Linked DNA regions of Coturnix japonica. The protein of the gene in region 2 purifies or fractionates together with the protein of the main gene of each other region. This does not show direct contact. Links are inferred from orthologs where the notes say so. Each region holds a gene or a part of one and is shown on either strand. Other genes may lie near its edges.

Evidence for each region.
Region 1: the proteins of EIF2AK2 (region 2) and ZNF346 purify together in Homo sapiens (affinity purification with mass spectrometry; 3 studies listed by BioGRID and IntAct, with this or other methods). This does not show direct contact. The link is inferred for Coturnix japonica from reciprocal best matches to the Homo sapiens genes EIF2AK2 and ZNF346.
Region 3: the proteins of EIF2AK2 (region 2) and STAU2 purify together in Homo sapiens (affinity purification with mass spectrometry; 3 studies listed by BioGRID and IntAct, with this or other methods). This does not show direct contact. The link is inferred for Coturnix japonica from reciprocal best matches to the Homo sapiens genes EIF2AK2 and STAU2.

What each region holds. Positions count from the first base shown.
Region 1 is NC_029528.1:12,090,148-12,095,077, reverse strand, and holds the start of ZNF346 (zinc finger protein 346), read left to right. Parts: upstream 1-1,872; 5' UTR 1,873-1,887; coding exon 1,888-2,038; intron 2,039-2,134; coding exon 2,135-2,238; intron 2,239-2,658; coding exon 2,659-2,751; intron 2,752-3,562; coding exon 3,563-3,713; intron 3,714-4,498; coding exon 4,499-4,738; intron 4,739-4,930.
Region 2 is NC_029518.1:28,765,448-28,770,213, forward strand, and holds the start of EIF2AK2 (interferon-induced, double-stranded RNA-activated protein kinase), read left to right. Parts: upstream 1-1,668; 5' UTR 1,669-1,815; intron 1,816-2,433; 5' UTR 2,434-2,463; coding exon 2,464-2,567; intron 2,568-3,013; exon of another isoform or gene 3,014-4,137; intron 4,138-4,154; exon of another isoform or gene 4,155-4,309; intron 4,310-4,726; coding exon 4,727-4,766. Other genes in the region: NANP (N-acylneuraminate-9-phosphatase), read right to left, coding at 273-968, 1,097-1,186.
Region 3 is NC_029517.1:106,907,750-106,912,663, forward strand, and holds the start of STAU2 (double-stranded RNA-binding protein Staufen homolog 2), read right to left. Parts: upstream 3,059-4,914; 5' UTR 2,929-3,058; intron 1-2,928. Other genes in the region: UBE2W (ubiquitin-conjugating enzyme E2 W), read right to left, coding at 4,878-4,914. UniProt on the Homo sapiens protein: RNA-binding protein required for the microtubule-dependent transport of neuronal RNA from the cell body to the dendrite.

The DNA of each region.
Region 1 (4,930 bases), on a different chromosome or scaffold from region 2:
TAAAACAAGAGCTGCTCTATAGAGAAGCTCTTGCAAAACAAAGCTGTTCTGCTCCAGCTGAGCTGAACCTTGGCTGTTGCTGGAACACCATAGTTATACTTGCTCTGCTTTTTATCTTTAGCTCCAACTGGTCTCTTTGCCCTCTGTCCAGAGAGATGAACCTCGATGCCCACCTGGTATAATAGAACTGCACCCCGTTATCAGCAGGACACACAGGGGTTTCAGTTCTGAGCCTGGGCAGGGTCGCTGCTTTGGAGATGTCAGTAGCAAAACACAGCAGCCAGCAACAAGGAACTGCAAAGCGTTTGTGTTTGAGTCCTGTTCAAATCCATGCTGCTATCACCAGCTCTCCCCTCCGCTCGATGCGCTGCGCTAAATAAGAGATCAGCTGGAGTTACCATGAGTCACCTACCTCCAACATTTAAAACTGGGGGGGGGAGAGGAAAGAAGATGTAAAAGATGTAACCACACAACTCCCACAACGCTGCCGAAAACGAGGGGAGCTGTGGCAAAGAGCCTCTGTGTGAATGTAACTAAGGGAACGAGACGAGGAGAGATCACTTGTAGCTGCGCGGGGCTGTGAGTAGGAGCAGTAACAGCTTTTATTAGCCCAGCTGATAGAGCTGAAGAAAACAAGCAGCAGAGCAGATAACAAACAAGCAGATAAGGAAGCTGTGCATAGGAGCCGCATTTTGCTTTCAGCACTTCTGCAAAGGACCAGGCTGCTTTCAGGTCCAGTGAAACAAAGCCTGAATTGGCCAAACCCACCTTTTGCCTCCCATATTTTCCCATATTTTCCAGCTTTGAGATCCAAGCTTTGAGTTTGCAAACGCTCTGGCAGTGAAGGTGACCCCCTGACAATGGCCGTTCCCCAGGCCCATGTTTAGGGATATCCTTGAAGATCCCCAGCTCGTGCTTATTTGTCATGTCCCCCCTCGTCCATCACTTTGATGAATCAGAAAGCAATTACCCACAGAATCATCCTCAATCCTGACACCGCAGCTCCAGACCTGCCAGAGCTGCGACAGCTTGAAAAATGCTTCAAAAACGGAGCCAACAAATGAATGACTCTCATTGCCGATGGGTTTTTTGGAGCCGTTTGAGATTCAGGCTGGAGTGTGGGAAACAACCACCCCCCATTTCCCCCCATTCACAGGGATGGACACGGTGCTGCCCCTCCCCCCCCCCCCCCCCCCCCCCCCCCACCGGGGGGGGCCCCCCCCCCCCCCCCCCCCCCCCCCCCCCCCCCCATATATACACACAGGGACACACAGCGGACGGGCAGCACGGGGCGGTGCGGGGCCAACAGCCGGGCCGGGCCCCGCCGGTACCGCCCCAGGGCTGAGGCCTATAGGGCTGACCGCAAGGGAAAAGGCCCCGCGGGACACGGCCGGGCCCGGGACCTGCTGGGATCTACCGGGATCCACCGGGATCTACCGGGATCTACCGGGACCCCGCACGCCGCCCCCATCCCATCCCATCCCACCCATTGCCGCCCCGCACCGCGGGTCTCTTACCCGCACTCAACTTGGCGGAGAAGGCCTCATTGCCCTCAATCAAGATGGCGGCGTCGGCGTCGCGTCACGTGGGAGGCAGGAAGGCGTGGCCGTGCGATGCGGGTGGCGCCATGTCGTGTGCGGGCGGCGCGGCCTAAAGGAGCGGGGGAGCGGAGCTGAGGCCTCCATTGGAGCCCCTCGGGTACAGCCGGGATGGATGGCTTATTTACTGCTTGAGTTCACACGGTGCAATAACATAACGGTGTCCACTAATTGAGTTGCGGTCTTCCAGCCTTGAATCAGCAGCCGTTCAAGTCCCCCCTCCCTGCTTGCAGCGATCCCGGCGACAAATGGCGGCGCCGCACAGCCCCCTACGCTGCCCTCAACAAACATGGCCGCCGCCGCTTCGCCCCACCAACACGTGCTGCACACGGCGCTCCCGCGGGAAGCCGCTCTCGCGAGAGCGACCGGGGCGGCCAAGATGGCGGACGGGGCGGGTAGCAACGGGGACGCCGCGGCGCTGCCGGTGGGGAAGGAGGCAGGTGAGGGACACGGGGCGGGGAGCGGAACCGAGGCGGCACCGGGGGAGGATGGGGCTGAGATCGGTGTGTGCTGTGTTGTTTGTGTTGTGTTGGCAGTGGAGCGGCTGATACGGGAGAACGGGCACATCTTCACCGAGGCGCAGTGCAAGGTGTGCAGCGCGCTGCTCATCTCCGAGTCACAGCGACTGGCGCATTACCAGGTGAGGGGGGGAACGGGGGGTATTAATGGGTAACAATGGGTATCTATGGGTATCAATAGGTAGCAATGGGTATTAATGGGTAACGATGGGTAACGGGGGGCAGCAATGGTATCAGTGGGCATCAATGTGTAGCAATGGGTATCAGTGGGTATTAATGGGTAGCAATGGGTATCAGTGAGTAGCAATGGGTATCAGTGAGTAGCAATGGGTATCAGTGGGTAGCAATGCATAACAATGGGTAGCAATAGGAATCAATGGGTAGCAGTGGGTATCAATGGGTAGCAATAGGTTTCAATGGGTATCTATGAGTAGCAATGGGTAGCAATGGGTATCAATTAGTAGCAGTGGGTAGCAATGGGTATCAATGGGTAGCAATAGGTTGCAATAGGTAGCAATGGGTAACGCTGTGGCTGCCCGCAGAGCAAGAAACACGCCAACAAGGTGCGGAGGTATCTCTCCATCCACGGCGAAGAGGAGCTGGCACCTGGGAAGAAGATGAAGCTGGACGCCAAGGTGAGAGGGGAGCCTGTGCTGTGTGGGTGTGGGCTCCAAGAACAGCTTTTGGGAAGGGCTCTGTGGTTAAGCCCTGTTGGTGAGTACGGCTCCTGTTGCCTTTCCCTCCTAAAGAACCACATGCTGCTTCTTTCTGAAGGGCCCTCCAAGAAGAGCAGAGAAGCAAGGAGCTGTCAGTGTTATCACAGCATGTATAACGTTTTGTTTCACTGACAGCATATCACAGGGTTCCTGCTTCACCACACTTCTCTTTAAGTCATGGGTTGTTGGGTTTTTTTTTTTGCACTTTTTTTAGTTTTATTTCATCTTCTTGGTCATTAAGGGGTTTATTCACCAGCCGTCTGCTCCATGACTCGTTTGGGAAATAGATTCTACTTCTGTCATTGCTTTGGTTGTAGTCCCTGACCCTCATAGATTTGTTGCATGGATGGAAGGGAGATGAAGGAGGTTGCCTTCATGCATTGTGAGGCCTAGCAGTGACTGCCACTGTCTGCCCAGCTGGCGTTTCTTTGCTGATGGCCCAGCTGATAGCGCTGTTTGTGCTCCTTCACTCACACCTTAGGGAGCAGGGGGCAGATTGGTTCATGCTGCCCTGCAGTTAGCCTTGTTCTGGGCTCAGAACCTGTAGTGTTTCACTAAAAGACTGAGGAAAAGAGAATCTGAAGTGGGAACACTTCTGCTGAAGGAGCGGAATGGAAGTCTTATTCAAACAACTTCACATTCAGCATCTCTGATGATTCAGTTCCTTGAATGCCTTAGAGTTCCTCGTTGTAACAAACTTTTCCTAACCTCAGCCGTTCTGTGTGCACAGGAGAGCAAGCAGGAAGGCACCAATGGGGAGGACAGGAACAAGTGTTGTCCCATCTGTAACATGACCTTTTCTTCTCCTGCTGTGGCCACATCTCACTACCTGGGGAAGACTCATGCCAAGAACTTGAAGCAACAGTCCCCTAAAGTGGAAGGTGTGTCTGTCCTGCAGTGCCTTTGTGTTGTGAAGCTCAAAGTAGGAAAATGCTGCACGTAATTACTTTCCATTGGGAGGTGCTATTGGACATATGTCATCCTTGTTACATCTGTGTGGTGTTGGCTGTGAAGCAGGGAAAGCCAGCAGCCTGCCTCCAGATCCATGGCCTTTATCAACAACGTGCTTGGTAGAATGGCTTGGCTAAATGCTCCTGCATGCAAGAAATGGGACAGAGCCCATTGCTGTGAGATTAATTTGTCAGGCCTGCTCAGCTACAGGGTTGTAGCTTCTGTGGTTCGGCGACTTCTGAGCTGCAAACAGCCGGAGGCTGGGAAGTGGGACTGTGTGCTTGCCCTGACCTCGTGCTTTGCCTCCGCTTTCTGCCACGGCCCATTCTCAAGGCAGGGTCTGGCTGTGAGGAGCCTTCAAGAAGGGAGGCTGCACACATAGTTCTGCTGTCTGCTGCTGCCCTGTGAGAGGAGCCTGCAGGTGTTTAGCTCCTCTCTGCTGTTTGTGCCCCCTGCTGGGAGTTGTCTTACCTTGTGCCTTCCAGTTCTGGAGCAATAAGGGAGGAGGTTGGAGCAACACGGATTTATCCAGAGGTCTTACATCCTCTGACTGGGTTTCTTTTTGGGGCTGTTTTATGGTTTTGGGGTTGAGTTGGGTTGGTTTCTTTGGTTGTTTAATGCATGTTTGGGGGAAATAAAATTACCTTTTTTCGTTTTTTTGTTTTTTGGGTTTTTTTTCTATTTAACTGACCAAGAGTTTGGATTCATCCTACAGAAGTGGTGCCCCCACAGAAACATCCCGCTACCCTCCCCACCTCTACTGTATCCTCTAATGAAGAGAACAAGGACATTACAGACCCAGACAAGTTCTGTAGCCTCTGCCACGCTACTTTCAACAACCCCCTTATGGCAAAACAACATTATGTAGGTAAGAAACACAGAAAGCAAGAAACCAAACACAAGCTGATGGCACGCTATGGCCGAACTCCTGACGCACCGACATCGTCCTTCCTCGGTGAGTTCACAGCAGACAGGTTGGTAAGGAGCTGGAGAGCAGGGTGGGAGAGCAGCACTGTGCATCTGACAGGACTCTGAATGAGGGGTTCTGTGTGGAGGGAGTAGGGGAGAATTGCTTGTCATGAGGATCTTGATGATGTCTCACAAGACTGATCTGGTTGGTATTGTAATGCCTTGGCAGCAGGAGAGG
Region 2 (4,766 bases):
AATTTCCAGATACAGGCTGGAACTACTGTTCCAGCACACAAACTGTGCTTGCATCTTTTATATTCCTTATATATTCTTTATATCCTTTCTCTAAGGTCCCTTCCAACCCGCACGAGACTATGATACTATGATGATATTGATCCAATACTCTGTTTTTACCCCGTTTCATTGACAACCACGCTCCACCTGCTGCTTAAAACATAACATACACAAGTTGAAAATCCTAGGGTCAGATCTGTATCAAGAGCACAGGCAGCAGCTCCCTGCAGCCCTCAAGGGGCCTCCGTCCCACCCGCAGCACGGTCAGTTCCTAACTTGGCGTTCACCTTGTGCTCTATCTTCTGCAGCACGGCCGGCAGGTCCAGAACGGAGGCAATGACATAATGAGGCACCGGGGAGGCATCAGCCGGGGCCGCCATCGACTTGTTTAACCACACGGTGGCTCTCAGGCCGGCGTTCAGGCCTCCCTGGATGTCTGTGTCGAGAGAGTCCCCCACCATGACGCACTCTGCCGGCTGCACGCCCAGCAGCTCGCAGCAGTAGTGAAAGATGGACGGCGCGGGCTTCTCCTCCTTCTGCTCGCCTCCCACCACGATGGCGTCGAAGTAGGGCTGGCAGGCACAGGCCTCGATCTTCTCTCGCTGCGTCTGCCGGTCTCCGTTGGTGAGGAGCAGCAGGCGGACGGCTTTGCGCAGCTCGGTCAGCATGTCCCGCGTGTCCTCGGGCAGCGTCAGGTGCCGCAGCCGGGTGGCCTTCCACAAGAAGTAGCACTCTGCGGCCAGGCTGCGGTTGGCTTCACCGCCGACGGTCTCCCGGATCGCCTCCTCCCAGTGCGAGATGCGCAGGTCGGTGATGCACATCTTGGCGGGGTCGTGGCACTCCTTGAGAAGCTTCTCCTGCACTTTGTCGCAGATCCCGCGGGCCTCCCCCTCCCCGTAGTGGTGCTTGGAGCGGAGCGCGTTCACCACCTGCAACACACAGCACAGCACAGCACAGCACAGCACAGCACGGCACGGCACGGCACGGCACAGCACGGCCCGTCCGCACACCGCCGCTCTGCCCCGCCCCGCTCCCTCTCGCTGCCACCCCCGCGTACCTCCTCGATGGCGCAGCGCCCGGCCGCCGCCGTGTCCACCAGCGTGTTGTCCAGGTCGAAGAACACCGCCTTGACGCCGTGCACCCCCATGGTCGCAGCGCGTAGAGCCGTGCGTGGCACACAGCCGAGCCAACACCAAACCCTGTGTCCGCCCCGGCGCTGGGAGGGGCCGCAGTGGGAAGGGAGTTCCGCGGGGCGGGGCCGGGAGCGAAGCCGGGCCTCTAGCGCCTTTATTTTAAAGCTAATAAATAAACTCCTTGAGTTACGTAACTCAGAGTCAGGGCACGAATGGCTGCCAAACGGGCCCTCCGCTCTCTCAGCAAAAACGGCCGTAGGGTTCCGTGCACCGAGCCTGAGCCGAGCTGCCTGTGCCCGCAGATGTAAGGCGGAGCGCTTGTAAGCTGAGCGGTCCGTAGCGCTGCAGGCAGCGCGGTCCGCCACGGCAGGGCGCTGTGAATGAGTCGCAGCCGCCCAGCCCCGCTCCCCGTCCGCCTTTCGCTTTCGTTTCGTGCCGGTGCCCCGATGCTGTGGGAAACGGGGGCGGGGCTCCGTCCGCAGGGCGCTGCGCGGATCCTCGGGCGGTGCGGGACGAAGCTGCGGCGACAGCGGAGGTAACGGCGGCCGTGGGGAGCGGGGCTGGATCGGCCTGCACGGAGTGTTCCCGTTAAGAAGTAACTGTCGCTGAGGCGGACTTCCCAATTCATCTGCTGTTTTGTTCTGTAAGTGTTTGTTTTTCTCTTCCTGTTTCCATCGTGTGTGTAACGGAGACTGACAGCCTCGTAGCCTGAGAGTGTGCGGGCTGCCGTGCCTCGGTTCTGCTCTGAAGGAAGCGGTTTTAATTCTTTATGGAGAAACGTTACTGATTTCTCTCAGATTCCACGCAGTGATTCAACCTCCTGCAGAAATCTGCTGAGAAATCGTCCTTCATCACTAAACGCGCCATTCTGCTTTCACAGAATCACAGAATGACCCGGGTTGGAAGGGACCTCAAGGATCATGTAGTTCCAACCCCCTGCCTGGCAGGGCCACCAAACATACACATTTACTAGATCAGGTTGCCCAGGGCCCCGTCCAACCTGGCCTTGAACACCTCCAAGGACGGGGCATCCACAACCTCCCTGGGCAGCCTGTTCCAGGGCCTAACCACTCTCCTAAACTTTCTGAATCTGTAATCTCAATCTCAGCAGGTTTGGAATAGAGATGCAAGCCAACGACCTGAATGAGAAATCAGAGTTAGTTGCCGTTCTGTCCCTTGTCACAGTGCTACTCCGGCAGAACGGGGCTGTCTCTGTAGCAGTGTGTGAGACTCAGGCACGGCCCTGAATATTTCTCCACAGAATCTTTTGGTGCTCAGATATTGCATTGAGATGGACCGAAAGTATATGAGCTTGGTCAACAACTACTGCCAGAAGAGGAATGCCACGCTCGATTACGTCGAGGTGGAAATGAAAGGCCTACCTCATGACCCCGAGTAAGTTCACCACGCATGCCAATGAACATCAGCACGAGGTTGAACAGAAGTTGATTTGCTTGGAAGTGTGGCAGAGAGCTGCCTGCAAACACGGATGGGTGGGTGCAGGAGGTGTCACTGGGCACATAGGGCCTAAGGGAAACTTAGAGCTCATGGCTGCTTTTGGGAGCACTTGTTGCTGGTGGTCGTATTGCATTGATGCTTTTTTTGTCATGAATTATCTGAGGGGGTGGGTGGATTGCAGACGGTGGTTTGTGATATGTGGTAATTTAAGCGCTTTGGTTTTTATTGAGTTTTACAAAGTAATTTGGTGATTTATATTGTTAATTTCTAAGAGTAAAGGTTGGGTCTACGCTTATTGTTTGGTTACCAACGTGTTTTTGTGTGGCATTTTTGAACATCTGTTACAAGAGAAGGGTCTTAAACTGTTTTGCTTTTGTTTCTAGAGACAAACACAGAGGATGGAATATGTGGAGTTGTTTATTGTTTTAACACAAATGCAATGTCTGATGTCTTGCTTGTCTTTCCCTTACCACAGATCACAGACACCCAATGTCTATAATATCTCCTGCTCTTTATTTGCTAGTTTGCATGAAGACAGATCTTATACTAATAATCAGGATGTTTCTTTTAAATGGTGGTCTCCTGTTGCCAGCCTGCACTCTATGTGCTGACTTATTCTCAGAGTTGACTGTAATCCCTGATCAAATTATCTGTCTCTCAAGCCTTGCTCTACTATCTTTTTTTTCCCCTCCCATGCAATTCATACTTCAAAGGGATTGCATGGGACTAATACAATGTATGTATAAATTCAAATCCAATTCATTTGTCCCCTCCCAACTCCTTGTGCACCCCAGCTTCTGTGCTGGCAGGGCAGAGTGAGAAGCTGAAAAGATTTTGATACACTGCAAACACTGCTCAGCAAAAGCTGCTTTTTCATCAACACTTTTATCATTGCAAATCTAACACACAGTACCATACCAGCTTATATAAAAAAAGATGGCTCCACCCCAAGCTGATTGAGCACAGTCACTCTTGAGTTTCCTGGTCTGACTCACTGTACTGCTGCCTGAGCAGTATGGCATGATTGGTTGTACACCAGAGGTGGGAAGGATCAGTGGCTGAGTGTTCCAGGGTCAGGACTGGTTGCTGATATTATTACAGCAGTGACGGTGGAGAGTTACACTGGAGTCTAGTATTAGACAGCTCAGAGCTTACCGGCCCTTGAGGTCCCTTCCAACCCAGGCCATTCTATGAAGTGACTGGATAATACCATTCTGCATCTCTGATGCATCTCTGTTATTTTTTTGAGATTCAATGTGGCAGAAAGGGACTGCTTTCAAATGTATAATATAGAACAGCAGTGTATGGGAACTCTTGAGTCATGGCCTGAGCCATTGATTAATCACCTGAGTCAAGGACTGGGACAGCTGTGGGAGCACAGGTGAAGGCAATTCAGCTGTGTGACCTAGACCCCATTTATGGGCTGACTACCACAGGGGAATGATCTCTTTCTGGAGATCCCTCCGTTATGGAGTTTTCCACCGTGAGCCCAGATCCTTGGATACTGGTGAGCATTTCTTCCTTGATTCATTTCTTCCTTGACTGTTTCTTTTCCACCATGATAATCTTTCCAACTATAACACCTGCAAAGTACCATCCTAACCATGCTACTCTTCTAACTGTACAAGCAGATGCATTTTTTGTTTTCACTAAGTAGTGCCTGCAGTACTCTCTGAAAGGTGAGTTTAGTGTCATTTCTGGATGCATGAAATCAATTTTAGCTAATCTTTAGCATTTGTGTAGTTTTACGATGCTGAGATGTGTACAGGTACTAGGGCTTCTCAACCTTGTATTGTAACAATGACCACCTTATGCATTCTTTAGTAGTTTTGCTTTTAGAAATGCTAATAGAACTAGTATATATGTGGTTGTGGTCAGGAAGGAGATGGCTTTTTTTTTTTTTTTTTTTGAATCTTTATAGTAAAGGGTTATGATAACCAGGAGTTAGATACAATAAAAACACATGGATGCTCAGATACCTCCACAGGTAATTTAGTGCTTTGAATGTAATACAACTACAGTTTTATCTGAAAGAGTCTTTAAGTATGTATGAGACAAAGCTTACTAATCTTACAGGGAAGTTTTCTTTATTGCAGGTTTACGTTTATGGTTAAAATAGATGGTGAAGAGTATGGT
Region 3 (4,914 bases), on a different chromosome or scaffold from region 2:
GAGATGTGCACCTCATTCTTTTCCCCGCCTGCTTCTAAGCACCCTCATTTCATGCCTCATAAGCCCCCGTACCAAACAGAACCCCTGAACTTGTAGGTACTGCAGCAGCAGGCAATGAACAGCAAGCAGGGAAGGAGGAGTGTTCAGGTCAGGACCTCCACACAGGCTCTCACAACCTTGATCCTCACATGAGTGTGATATCAACAAGGTCAGCCCAGCAGAAGGGTGGCTGGGAAGCATGAACACCTGAAGGGCTCTACCACACAGACTCCAGCAACAGCACCCATAGGTGCTTTAGGAAAGCATCCTCCTCCTTCCTTTTTCTTCCTCTTTGGGGAAGAGGGAGAAAAATCAGGCATTATTTTGAGAAATACGGGCTGTGGGTGTGATCCAAAGATGAGAAACGTACCATAATTGGTTCTGGTAAAGGCAGGTCTATCTGAGGGAACTCTTTGTTGCTGCTGCTGATAGGAGATCGATATGGCCAAGGGAAGAGAAGTGAAGCTTTGGCAGCTCATTAACAGAAGTTATCAGAGTTATGCTACAGAGCACAGGTTAGGTACTCCCTACCACATGTGGTGTGAGGAAGCAGATATTTAGCTCTCCAATGGATGAAATCTATGCAGACGTCTACATGGATGTATGAAACAAACACACAATGAAAGTAGCACTGCATACGCACACCTTACAAGGACTGCTTCCCTCGCTGCACGATATTGCAACAGGATGCATTTTGAAGGACCAGACATGATCAATCCAAGTGCTTCTCTTCTTTTTGAGGACTAGCAGATCAATAGCCACGTGCTCCAGGCAGGTCAAAGCAAAGAGACAGAGCACGACAGGTGCAGCCCTCCCAGAGGCTGGAGGAGCAGCACTGCAACTGCTGACCTGCTCTGCCACATCATCTAACCTTCCAAGGTCATTCCATGGCATCTCACAACCCCAACACACCCAGCTTTCACCAACACGCACCAGGATGGCCATGCAGCTGTGTTTGTAAACCTCTGTGGGAGACTCAGCTCTGGCATTTGCCCCCAAGGAAGGGGCTGATTGAGTTAATTGCCTCTTTAAACTTGGTCAAGTCATTGAAACACCTCTGACCAAGTTTTCCTACATGTAAAATTAGGGAGCTCTTTTACAAGCCACTTTCACAGCTCAGGACTGAAGATTATTCAAAGGTGTTATTACTCTGACATTATAGCTGAACCTGGGAATGAGATCTAAAGTCTTCCGCCTCCAAACTGCAGCCTGACCAGAACCCAAACTGGATGGCCTCTGCCAAAGCCAAACATCATCAAGAAGTTCCTTCAAGCAAGGAAAACCTGAATTGCACTCTCCCTCACAAACCACAACCAAGCAGCAGCCTCACTCCAGCTTCCAGCAGCCGGAATCTGAGTGAGCACAGCAAGAGCAGGCATCTCCCTCTCCAGGAGTTTTTCTAGGGCAAAGCAGAGGATCCACGATTGGAAGTCAGTGCTGGGAATCACACAGTGCTGCTGGATGTCAGAAAGGCTTCATTCAGGGAACTGTCAGACCTGGCACCTCTTACAGGCAGCAGCATCACAACAACGCCTTTGTGGAATCTCCCTGTGTTTAGAAAACAGATTTCCAACCTGGAGTCACTGTACATCTCAGGCTTTACTCCTGGGCAGCAGTAATATCGGTGAGATTCAAAGTAACCTGCACTCAATCACAGGAGCACAGTGCAACCAACCCCACCTAGCTCCACCAGAGCCATCGCTTTACTTGTGCCCTGTGGCAATCCACACGCATTTCCTCAGTAATCACCGAGGCACAGTGAGGAGTAGCAGAAGGGATGTTCCACCCACTCCTCGGTGCAACAGACTTTATTCACTACTACAGTAGTTGCGCAGGGGACACTCCTTAGCAGGCAGAGGCACAGCTCGCCTGCCACAGGGCAACGCTGAGTGGGTGCATTGCCAGGAAAGGTGCTTCTTAGGCATCGTGGGCTGGGCAGGCAGCGCCCTGAGCTGTAGGCACGCACCCAGCAGCCCCATCCAGACCCCATCACATTCAAGATGAGTCTTCTCTTCCCACAGACCCGAAGGCCAGGGAGGGCCTCGGCCTGTTGCAAAATGCATCCCTCTCCTTCCACTCCACCTCAAACACAGCCCCACAGCCTTCGAGCTCGCTGAGCCCCCGGGAAGCACTGCACGGCCAGCTGCCTCATGGAAGGAACACTGACATCCATTTTGGGAGCACGACGGCGCAGTCCTGCTGGCAAAAGTTTAGGACCTTGTCCCAAGTTCAGGCGAAGAGCACGGTGAATGAAATGAAGGCAGTGGACGTTAACGCAGACGAACGGATGGGCGACGTGCGAGAGCACGAAGAACCGCAGGAAGAATTTCCGAACCCGCCGTGCGGAGCGGGCACACCGGGGGCGGGGAGGGGGCAGCAGGCCAAGGAGAACGAGACCGCTTCAGCCCGCACCGGCTCCCCGCGCTGTTCCGGGCAGGCCCGGCCCGCAACCCCGCCGAGCCCAGCACAACCGCCCGGCCCCGAGGCGAGGGCAGCTCCGGACCGGGGGCTGCGGCGGGGTGCCCACCTGCGTGCCCTAAGCGGCCGTCCGCTGCCCGGCTCCAGCGCCCGGGGGAGGAGGAGGAGGAGGCGGCGGCGGCGAGGGCCGCGGGGCAGATGGCGGAGTCGCCTCCACCGCCGCCCCCCTCCTCCATCCCGCCGTGGCGCAGCGGTGCCTCGGCAGGAGGGCGCACGGGGGTCGGCGGAGCCGCTGCTCGGGGCAGCGCCGCGCCGGCGGGAGGGGAGAGAGCGGGGAGGAGGAGGAGGAGAACCCGGACATCATGGCTGCGGCAGCCCCCTCCCCTCCGGCCGAGGCTCGGCTCCCCCACCCCGCGCCCGCCCTTCCCCTCACTGCGGAGGGGAGCGGGGCAGCCCGGCGGGCCCCGTTACCTGATTCCGGGGACGCTTCGGAGCCGCCTCTAACATCGGCAAACACTAAAGAGAACTGACCCCGCCGCCGCGGCGGCCGCCGCCGGCCCCAACCACTCCGCCCTCCCCCCGGCGCTCCCGCAGCGGCCCCGTTGTGCCGCCGTCCCGCCTCCCTTCTCCCCGCTGCCCGCCGCCGGCCTCGCCCGCCGCTCCGCCATCGCCCCGCCGGCCCCCGGCGCCGGCGGCGTGTTCCCGGCGCCGCTCCGCGGCCTCGCTCCCCCCCGCTCCGGCAGCGCGAATGGCCCCGTCCGCATCCCTTCCCGGCCCGGCGAGGCCGCGCAGCGCCTCTAGCGGCAGCCGAGCCGCGGGGACCGGGGCGGCCGGCCCGTCGCCCCGCTTCCCTGCCGCGCCGCTCAGGCCGGTTCGGTCGGGCTCTGCGCGGCGGCTGCGGGGCTGCAGTGCCCGGGTAGGGACGAGGCGGAGCGGACCGGGCGCTGCCAGCACCGTGCAGGTGCGAGGCCACAGCGGCCCCGGTCACTGACTCGGCGGCGTCCGCGGCCCCGAGCGAGGAGCTCCGCTATCCGCGTGTGCTGCGGCCGAGCCGGCTCCGCCTGCGGCCGTACGAGAGCGACATAAGCACAGAGAGCGCGGCGCCGGCAAGTTGTCAGCGGGCGGACGGCTGAGCCGTGTTAGCGCTCCGGCGCTCGCCCTGCTACCCCCGCCGTCCTTTTAATTTCACGTTTTTTTCAGTTGCGCACAAGAGAGGAGAGAGCCCCGTGAAAAAGCAGCTTTTACTCCAGCTGCGTTATCGCCCGTCTAAGCGGCAGCTGTCTGTCACACGCCGAGCTGCTGCTGCTGCCTTTCACCTCCTCCGAGCGCAGCCCCGCAGCGCTTTACCTCTCCTTGCCTCCCGTTTTCCCCTGGCCCTGACCCGCCCCCTATCGGCAGCCCGGCCCGGCCCGACGCCGCACCGGGAGCTGTTGCCTGCTCGCTGCCCGGCGGTGAGGAACGACAGGAGAACAGCTTTTGGAATTGGGTTTTACTCATCTCGCTCTGCCTCCTCGCGTGTAACAACAGCCTCGCTATAAGGCGTGACCCCTCGCCTCTCCCAGGCAGGAGTGGTGAGAGGAAGGCTGAATGTAATCAACGCGACTGATGGCAGCATCTCAGTCCACGCGGATTACGTGATGTCCGATCAAACCACGGTTCCTTGCAGCAACGCACGTGGTGAAGAGGAGGGCAGCTGCTACAGCTGATTGCCCTTATGGAGCAGCAGCCACAGGCCCCGAAGCCCCAAGCAGCAGCAGTGTCAAAACCTTGGCTTCCCAGCCAGGAGCTGCCCAGAAAGGTTGCAAAGCCCTCTGCACTCACTGCTGCTGTTGGAGGGCTTCCACCCAACAGCAACACTATGGTTCTATTACCAAAGCATCATCCCTAGAGCCATCGTTCGGGGCTTTGCTTGTCACATAGGGCTGGGCAGGGAAAAACAAAATGGAAAGCACTTTGTAATGCCATTTCTCAGCAATGAAACCTTCCTTTAGCTGAGAAATAAGTAATAACTTTATTTTTCTAAGGCATGGGTGAAATCAATTTCTGACTATCTTGAAACATCAGCTGTATCAAATAGATATTCTTTGAAACCAGCTGGAAACCACACAGGGGGTTGGGGCACCAGCTGAGAGCAAAGAACATAATGGATGGATTGAGCCCAACCAGCTTCCCAGATGCTGGGGGTATAATCACACACTAATAGTGCACCCCAAACGCGTGTTGCATAAGCCTGTGTATTAGAGGCAGTGATTTACACACCAAACACACATACTGAGGCTTAGTGACAGGATGGTGTTGTGAGTATCCAGGCGACAGCGAGGTTTTATTCACGCCAACAGAACGCTACAGTGACATAATTTGTTTAAATACACTTTGGGGAATGCAGCATTTGCTAAGGCAGCTTTATACACACCCTTGATTCAGCTGTGGTAGCTTGTCATCCTTCCCTTCTCATCC